Linked DNA regions of Canis lupus familiaris. The protein of the gene in region 2 interacts with the protein of the main gene of each other region in a pairwise test. Links are inferred from orthologs where the notes say so. Each region holds a gene or a part of one and is shown on either strand. Other genes may lie near its edges.

Region 1 (3,648 bases), on a different chromosome or scaffold from region 2:
TTATGCTACGAAGACTGAGAAAGACCAATACCATATGATTTTACTCATATGTGGAAAACGAAAACAAAAAATTAACAAATAAAAACTCATGGACACAGAACACACTGGTGGTTACAAGAGGGGAAAGGAGTTGAGTAGGCAAAATGAGTGAAGGGAATCAACTATATGGTGATGGCTGGTAGCTGGATTTTAGTGATTACTTTGTAGTATGTAACATATGTCAAATTACAGTTGACCCCTGAACAACTCAGGGATTAGAGGGTGCCAACTCCCAGCACAGTCAAAAATCCATGAATAACTTTTTACCCTCCCCAAAACTTGAACTACCAGTAGCATACTGTTGAATGAAAGCCTTAGCAATAATAGTCAACATTTTGTATATTATGGATTGTATTTTAACAAAAAAGCCAGAGACAATATTAATAATATCATAAGAGATGGGACGCCTGGGTGACTCAGTGGTTGCATCTGCCTTTGGTTCAGGGCATGATCCTGTAGTTCTGGGATTGAGTCTCGCATCGGGCTCCCTGCATGGAGCCTGCTTCTCCCTCTGCCTGTGTCTGCCTCTTTCTGTGTCTCTCATGAATAATAAAATCTTTAAAAAAAAAAAAAAATCGTAAGAGAAACTACACTTACAGTACTGCACTATGTAAAAAAAAAAAAAAAAAAATCTGCATATAATTAGATGTGTGAAGTTCAAATTTGTGTTGTTCAAGGGTCAAATGTATAATATTGTGCAACTAGAACTCACCTATGGCACATATAGTATATATGGTATATATGGTGTACACACACAGGCACACACGGTATATAACATACCAGTTACCTCAATAAAGAACAAAACATGCCTCTCAATACTTCCCATAGAGCTAATTTAAAATTTCTCAGTTAATTTTTTTAAAAAAGATATATTTAGTTTTAGAGTGAGCACGCACGAGCAGTGGGGAGGAGGAGGGAGAGAGATTCTCAAGCAGACTCCGCACTGAGCCTGAAGCCTGATGCGGCACTTATCAATCTAGATCACATGATCTCCCTGAGATCATGACCTGAGCCAAAGCCAAGAATCAGATACTTAACTGACTGAGCCACCCAGGCACCCCCTCAATTAATTTAAATGTTTATCACACTTTAAAGAAGTCTTTGAAATGAGTTAAATGTCGGTTTTTATTATTTCAAAATACTAACAAGTTTCAATTCAAAGAAACAAGTTTTTTCAAATAATCCAAAACTCCATTGATATTTATGTATAAATCTTTTGTAAGGAGTGTGTATCAAGGAGATAAAAGAATATACTCAAAGCTAAAGGATACTTCTCAAGCTACCCAATGTCATATGTATATGCAATCCCTGGGGTCATAGGCTATAACAACAAAATGAGATCAAGTATTTGACTCTGTTATTCTAAAAATTAAACTACCAAACACAAATTTAACAAAAGCCTTAGTTTTAGTTGTAATAAACAAAAAGATGAGGAGGATAAAAGCCACTGCCTCGCCCCGGTGGCTCAGTGGTTTAGCTCAGTGGTTTAGCCCCGCCTTCAGCCCCAGGGCGTGATCCTGGAGACCTGGGATCAAGTCTCACATCGGGCTCCCTGCATGGAGCCTGCTTCTCCCTCTGCCTGTGTCTCTGCCTGTCTCTATATCTCAAGAATAAATAAATAAAAATTAAAAAAAAAAAAGCCACTGCTTCATTGTAAGATATTCATGGGTGAATGAAAGGTAATGAAAATCTTAAGCTGAAATGAACTCTGGCGGAGAAAGTCAGAGCAATAAGGGTCACAGACAGCAGCACTGTGAATAAGCTGTCCTATATTAATCTTGAATACAAACTGGATGAAAAATACTAGTTCTTTCAAACCCTCCAACTTAAGGGTGAAAGTGCAAACTACAGAACTTGAGAAAAATGTCCCTGATGTTTTCTAAGGCTTGACTCCTTCACCTGTAGAGACCTGTGCATGGTCTTAGAAATAGTTTTCTGTGCATCAAGTGTACAGACTTAACCAGTAACAAAGGTATACTCTGGCTTATGATAACAGGCCTCAAAGGCCACAAAATGCAGTCAGCTCAAAAGATCTCACAAGCAAAGAACACAGAGCTTACATGGACTAAAATGACTTTACATGGGAAAAGAGCCTGAGAAGAACATGGTTCAGATCACAGAATTAATTTTTATCAGAGAACAAATTAAAGAGGTATTTTTGGAAATGATACCAAGATGGATATCGTACGTAACCAGGGAAACCTGACTTAGTTATGTGGTGTCCAAGTTCCTTGACTTTGGTCTGTTACTTTAACACAGAGAATATTTGTATCTCTGCAATTAAAAACTTACCTTTGAATGTCCTAGGAACCCCTTCTTGTCTACAGGCAATATAGAGACAAGCGGAAGCTATGGCATCATTAGCTCTTCCCTTCAGGCTCTTCTGTTCATATACTTGCTTGAATAAATTATTTGTTCGATCCTTCAAAGCAAAGAAACTAAGTTTAATTAACTCTAGGCCATTTAATTAGTTGCAATATCAAAATTTCATGTGTTCAATAAATTACACTAAGTCAATGTCAGAATGGCTTAAAGGAGACAGACAAAAACTTACAACTATATTTCGGGGGAGGTTGATTCTGTCTGCCATAGTAGTGATTTCTTTGAAAGCATTCATCATTGCCCGATCAGAACTACTCATTGTTCTCCGATTTTGGTACTTAGAATTGCCAAATTCATCAAAACTTGCAGCTCCTGTACCCTGTAAAACAAGGTTTTATAACTTTATGCAAAAAAATTTTTAAATCTGAATGAATAGACATTTCTAAGGAAACATAACTTATACACTCTGTATAAGCCCAAGAAATCTACCCTGTGCCTCCTCTCTAATCCTCAGTAGAATAAGTACCAGGTTGAGATGGTGTAAATGAGTACCTGTGAGAGAGCTCAAGAGTATAAACCATCACCTAATAGACCTAAGGAGAAAAATGAAAGGATCATCTCCAAAGGTGCTATAAAGGCAAGCAAATAAAACTCAAAAGCCATTTTTTTTATTACAAACTCACAAAATATTACAAATGGGTATTTCTTTGTATTAGAAAATCATTCTCCCAGGCCCAAAGCCAGCACAATTATTAATGGGAAGAAAAGGCATACCTTGTTTTATTGTGCTTCATTTTACTGCACTTTGCAGAGACCGTGTTTTTGTACTGTTAACAAACTGAAAGTTTAAGGCAACCCAAGTTGAGCAAGTCTATTGGCGCCCTTATTCCAACAGCATTTGCTCACTTCAGGTCTCTGTCACATGTTAGTAATTCTTGTAACATTTCAAATTTATTCACTGTATTTCTTACAGTGATCTGTGATCTTTGATGTTACTATTGTTTTGGGGCTCCACAAACTGCACACTTTTAAGACAGCAAACTTAATAAATTTGTGTGTTCTACTGAGCAGCTGTTTCCCCATCTCTCTCCCTCTCTCCTTGGGCCTCCCTATTCCCTGAGACTCAACAATATTGAAATTAGGCCGATTAATAACCCTATAATGGCTTCTAAGTCAGAGGAATAGTCACATGTTTCTCACTTTAAGCTGAAAGCTAGAAATGATTAAGCTCAGTAAAGGAAGGCATGTCAAAATCCAAGGTGGGCTGAAAGCTAGGTCTCTTGTGCC
Region 2 (4,147 bases):
CCAGGGTCTACTCAGAAATGGGAGTGGACTGACCAAATGGGTCACTCTCCTGCTCAGAAGCTGATCTCTGAGGCCCCTGACAATCCCACCTGTCTCTGCTCCCACTGCCCCTTCCCACACGCCCTTCATGGCACCAGGCACAGAGCTCTATAGCTTGCAAGTCCTCTTCCCATTGTTTGTCCAATCTGTCTATTTGCAGTAGCCCGGAGTAGGCAGAAAGATCTCTACCGGGGAGATAAGGAGAGGCCACTCAAAGATAGGAACCTTGCCAGGGTCACACAGCAAAACAGGACAGGTCATCCTCCAGCACAACCAGCACCTCTGGCTCCAGCCCTCCACCACCACTCTGCCTTCTGTCAGCACCCCTGCTCCTACCCTGGCAGGACCATGGCCTCTGGAGCCTCCCTCACTCAGCTGCTGCCCTGCCTACCACCACTTCTGGCCTCAGCTCAGCATGGGGAAAACAGGTAGATGGATGGGGAGGTGGCCACAAAGCCCTGGACATAGGCTGGGACAGACACTGGTGTTCCCTTTTATTAATTTTTTAATAAATTTAAGAACAGCTCTATCTTCTCTCCTCCCCCCAGAGCAACTAAAACCAACTAAAAGGGGGTGTGGCCTGGGGGGGGGGCAGAGGCCGCTAGGAGTCATAGTCCTCTTCATCCTCTGCGTCAGGTGCTGAGGGGCCCGGGGGTGCTGGGGGCAGAGGCAGAGTCGAAGTGAAGGGCATGAAGGGTGTCGGGGGGCTGCAGGGCAGAAAGCAGAAGAGAAAGATCAGGCCCCTTGCCAGTGCCCACCTACCCCACCCTTGTGAGCATGGAGCCCCCGGCCTTCTGTACCCAGGGGCAGCCGAGCCCAGAGAAGGGAAGAACCCAGAGCAGGTCACACAGCTCCTGCCCAGGCCCCCTCCAATGGGGCTGGGTGGGGGTAGGGGAGGGGATCTTCTGACAGCAGCATTCTGCCTTTAAGCCCTCCTCAGTTCCTCCCCTCTCATCCACCAAATCTTCCACAAACAACAAAACCAAGTGGCCACAAGAGCAGGCCAGCCTTGAGGAGTCTGCTAGCCTCATCTGGTGCCACCAAGCTGATTACCTCTGAAAGTGGGCAGGGGGATGGCCAGCCTGGGGTGGCGCCTGGGGTGCCTCCTCTTCTCCCTCAGTGTCTGTGTCCTCAGACTCATCCTGGGAGCAAGGCAGGGGTCAGAAGTGACAAGAAAAGCATGAGCCCATCACTGGCGAGCCTAGATCCCTGGGAGCGGCAGGGACAAGACATTGAACTCTCTAGCCTTAACTTTACAGCCCTAATTTACAAAAAACCATAGGTGAGGATGGGTCCGGGTGTCCAGCCAGCATGCTAGGCCAGATACAAGACCACCCCCTCCACACCACACAGTAGACCAGAGGGCTGCGGGCCTCACTCACCTCTTGCTCTGAGTCCGTCCCTGACAGCTTCTTGTCCTTGCTTTTGCTTCCCATCCCACCATTCTTCCGGCCACTGCTGCCTGGCTTCCGACCCCTTTGGGAAGGTACAGTCCATCTGCCCAGAGGTCTCACCATCCCTGACCACCCCCTCCCAGTCACCCCCAACCCCAGTTGGCCTTGGCCTTCCTTGCCTGGACACCTGGCCCTGGCTCCCCACCTGCGGGTACCCTTGTCCCCATCCATGTGGTTGTCTTCCCCGTCTCCCTGCATGTCAGGCACAGAGGCCACCAGATCCTTTAAAAAGTCAAACTGCTGCTCCAGCTCAATGCACTGTTTCCTGGAAGAGGTGAGGAGAAGATGGAATTCAGCTGGGGCCCAGATGTCTGGGTTCTCAGCAAGGGACAGCAGGAGATATCAGGAGATGGATATCAGGAGGATAGAGCCTGGAGAACCTCCATCCCATCTCCACTACGGAACCTGCTCGCCTTGCTACACCACCCAACCCCTCCTCCCCCAGTTCAAACCCACCCATATTCGAGGCGTTGCTGGTCTCCCAGCAGCCTCCCACCTCTCCTAAGTGTGTGAACTCCTGGGGCAAGGTTCCACTGGGCCCAACCAGCTCCCAGGCCACTCACAGGTGGGATGTGGTCATGGTCTTGGCGTTTCGGGACTGGGTCACCTGGCAAGCCTTTTTCAACAGCGACTCTAGGAACAGCTCGAGCGCCCGGGCTGAGGAGCGTCAAGGAGAACACGGGTGGGGGATCCCCAACCTAAACAAGGCGACCCCGGGCTCCCTCCCTACCCCAGGTCCCTCAACCTGGCCAGGCCCCGACAGGATACAGATGATGACAGGCACTGCCGCCGCCACCTTCCCAATCTCTTCGTCAGTTTGCATGATCTTCTTGATCCGCGCCTGGGGAGGGGGCAGAAAACTCGGACCCTGTCGCCTCCATCCCCGAAAGGGGTGCTGGGGGCTAACGAGAGAGGTTCTCCCGGGAGAGAGGGCTGGGGACCCGGACGCCGGGAGGGCACGGAAGGGGGCGGGGCGTTCGTACCCCGAACACCACGGTGCGCCCGCCCCCCCACGCAACCTCCCCAAGCCCGGCTCGGGCCCGAGCCTCCAAAGAGCCCGGCCCGCTCCTCGGGGGCCTGGCCACGTGCTCACCGGCGGGAACCGCGCGTTATACTTTTTCTTCTTGCTCGGCATCTCAGGGCCTCTCTCGCCACGCCGGGCCCAGCGCCGCCGCCCGCAGCTTCCCGGCCCCCGGGCCTGCTCGCCACCCGCCTGCCGCGGTTCCCCCGGGTCCTGGTGCCGCCTGCTCCGCCCCCGCCGCTCCCCACGCGGTCCTAGCGCCGCCGGTCAGGACGCCGCTCGCAGGGCCGGAGCGCCCTCCCCTTGCGGCCTCCCGGGCGGTGCGCGTCGATCCGGGACCGGAGCGCCGCTCCCGCCGGCCCCCAAGCCTAGGAAAGCGAACGTTAGCCCCGCCCCCGAGGCCCCGCCCCGCCCCGCCCCGGTTCCCCTGGCGGCCCCGCCCCCGGGGTCAGTCCCTCCCCTCGCAGGCCCCGCCCCGCGGCGCGGGCGACAGGCCCGGCGGCCCCGCCCCGTGCTGCGCTTGTCTATAAAGTTGTTGTTGAGGCGGCGGGCGCTAAGATGGCGGCGGCGGCAGCCGTGGCGGGGGCGGGGCGCGGCGGGGGCGGCGGCGGCGGCGGCGGCGGCGCGGAGCCCCGGCAGGAGCGTAGCCGGGCGCGGGGCTGGGCCGGCGCCGAGCGCGGCGAAGGCCGGAGGTGACGGCGGGGCTGCGGGAGGGGGCAGGGCTGGGCGGGGGCGCGGCTCGGGCTGTGGGCGCTAATGGCGGCGGGCGCGGCGGGCCCGAGGCTGGCGCTCTCGTAGGCTCTACCAAGCCTGGGTTCCAGTCCGGCTGTCGCCCCGTTGGCCTTGGACTGGTCACGGCTCTTTCCGGGCATCAATGTGCTCGTGCTCAAGTAGGCCCGACAGCGCCAGCCCGGGGGTCTGGTCCTGCTGGGCCTGCCTCGATGCTACGCGAAAGTGCGCTTCTCTGCCTCCCTCCGCTGAATCCTGCGATCGGGATGCCTGCCAGTTCCGGGCAGGGCCGGGAGGTGTAGCTGGGCTGGTTGCTCCCACACCTGAATTCACATTTCGGCCCCTGTCACTCATTGCAGGTGTGACCTTGGGTGGGTCACTTCTCCCTGAGCTTCGATTTTCTGGTCTGTAAATTGGGGAGAGTGGTAATAGCATTAGTAATAACCTTTATGCAGCGCTTATTCCACCTTAGGCGTTTAATGCTCCATAGCTCTACGGGACAGGAACAGCTTTTGTCCACTGTAAAGATGAGGCAGCTGAGGCACCAGACCTTAAGTCTTGCCTAAGGCCACGGAGTTTAAGCCCATTGGCTGCACCAGCTAGGGCCCAGCACGTTGTACGTCTGTCCTGGACCTGCTCTAACTCTGTTCCTTCATGGCAGGATGGAGCCAGGTGAAGAGATGGAGGAGGAAGACTCTCCAGGCGGCCGCGAGGATGGCTTCACTGCTGAGCACCTGGCCGCAGAGGCCATGGCAGCTGACATGGACCCCTGGCTGGTGTTTGATGCTCGCACCACACCTGCCACCGAGCTGGATGCCTGGTTGGCCAAGTACCCACCATCCCAAGTTACTCGCTATGGGGACCCTGGCTCACCCAACTCTGAGCCCGTGGGCTGGATTGCAGC

The links.
Region 1: the proteins of DRAP1 (region 2) and GTF2B interact in binary tests that used the Homo sapiens proteins (3 or more experiments, as listed by UniProt). The two-hybrid records come from large-scale screens. The link is inferred for Canis lupus familiaris from reciprocal best matches to the Homo sapiens genes DRAP1 and GTF2B.

What each region holds. Positions count from the first base shown.
Region 1 is NC_049227.1:60,037,155-60,040,802, reverse strand, and holds part of GTF2B (transcription initiation factor IIB), read right to left. Parts: intron 2,741-3,648; coding exon 2,594-2,740; intron 2,462-2,593; coding exon 2,332-2,461; intron 1-2,331. UniProt on the Homo sapiens protein: General transcription factor that plays a role in transcription initiation by RNA polymerase II (Pol II). Involved in the pre-initiation complex (PIC) formation and Pol II recruitment at promoter DNA.
Region 2 is NC_049239.1:51,852,003-51,856,149, forward strand, and holds DRAP1 (dr1-associated corepressor), read right to left. Parts: upstream 2,749-4,147; 5' UTR 2,629-2,748; coding exon 2,587-2,628; intron 2,335-2,586; coding exon 2,262-2,334; intron 2,151-2,261; coding exon 2,057-2,150; intron 1,759-2,056; coding exon 1,639-1,758; intron 1,516-1,638; coding exon 1,422-1,515; intron 1,249-1,421; coding exon of another isoform or gene 1,182-1,248; coding exon 1,093-1,181; intron 747-1,092; coding exon 641-746; 3' UTR 510-640; downstream 1-509. Other genes in the region: C18H11orf68 (UPF0696 protein C11orf68 homolog), read left to right, coding at 3,073-3,206, 3,905-4,147. UniProt on the Homo sapiens protein: The association of the DR1/DRAP1 heterodimer with TBP results in a functional repression of both activated and basal transcription of class II genes.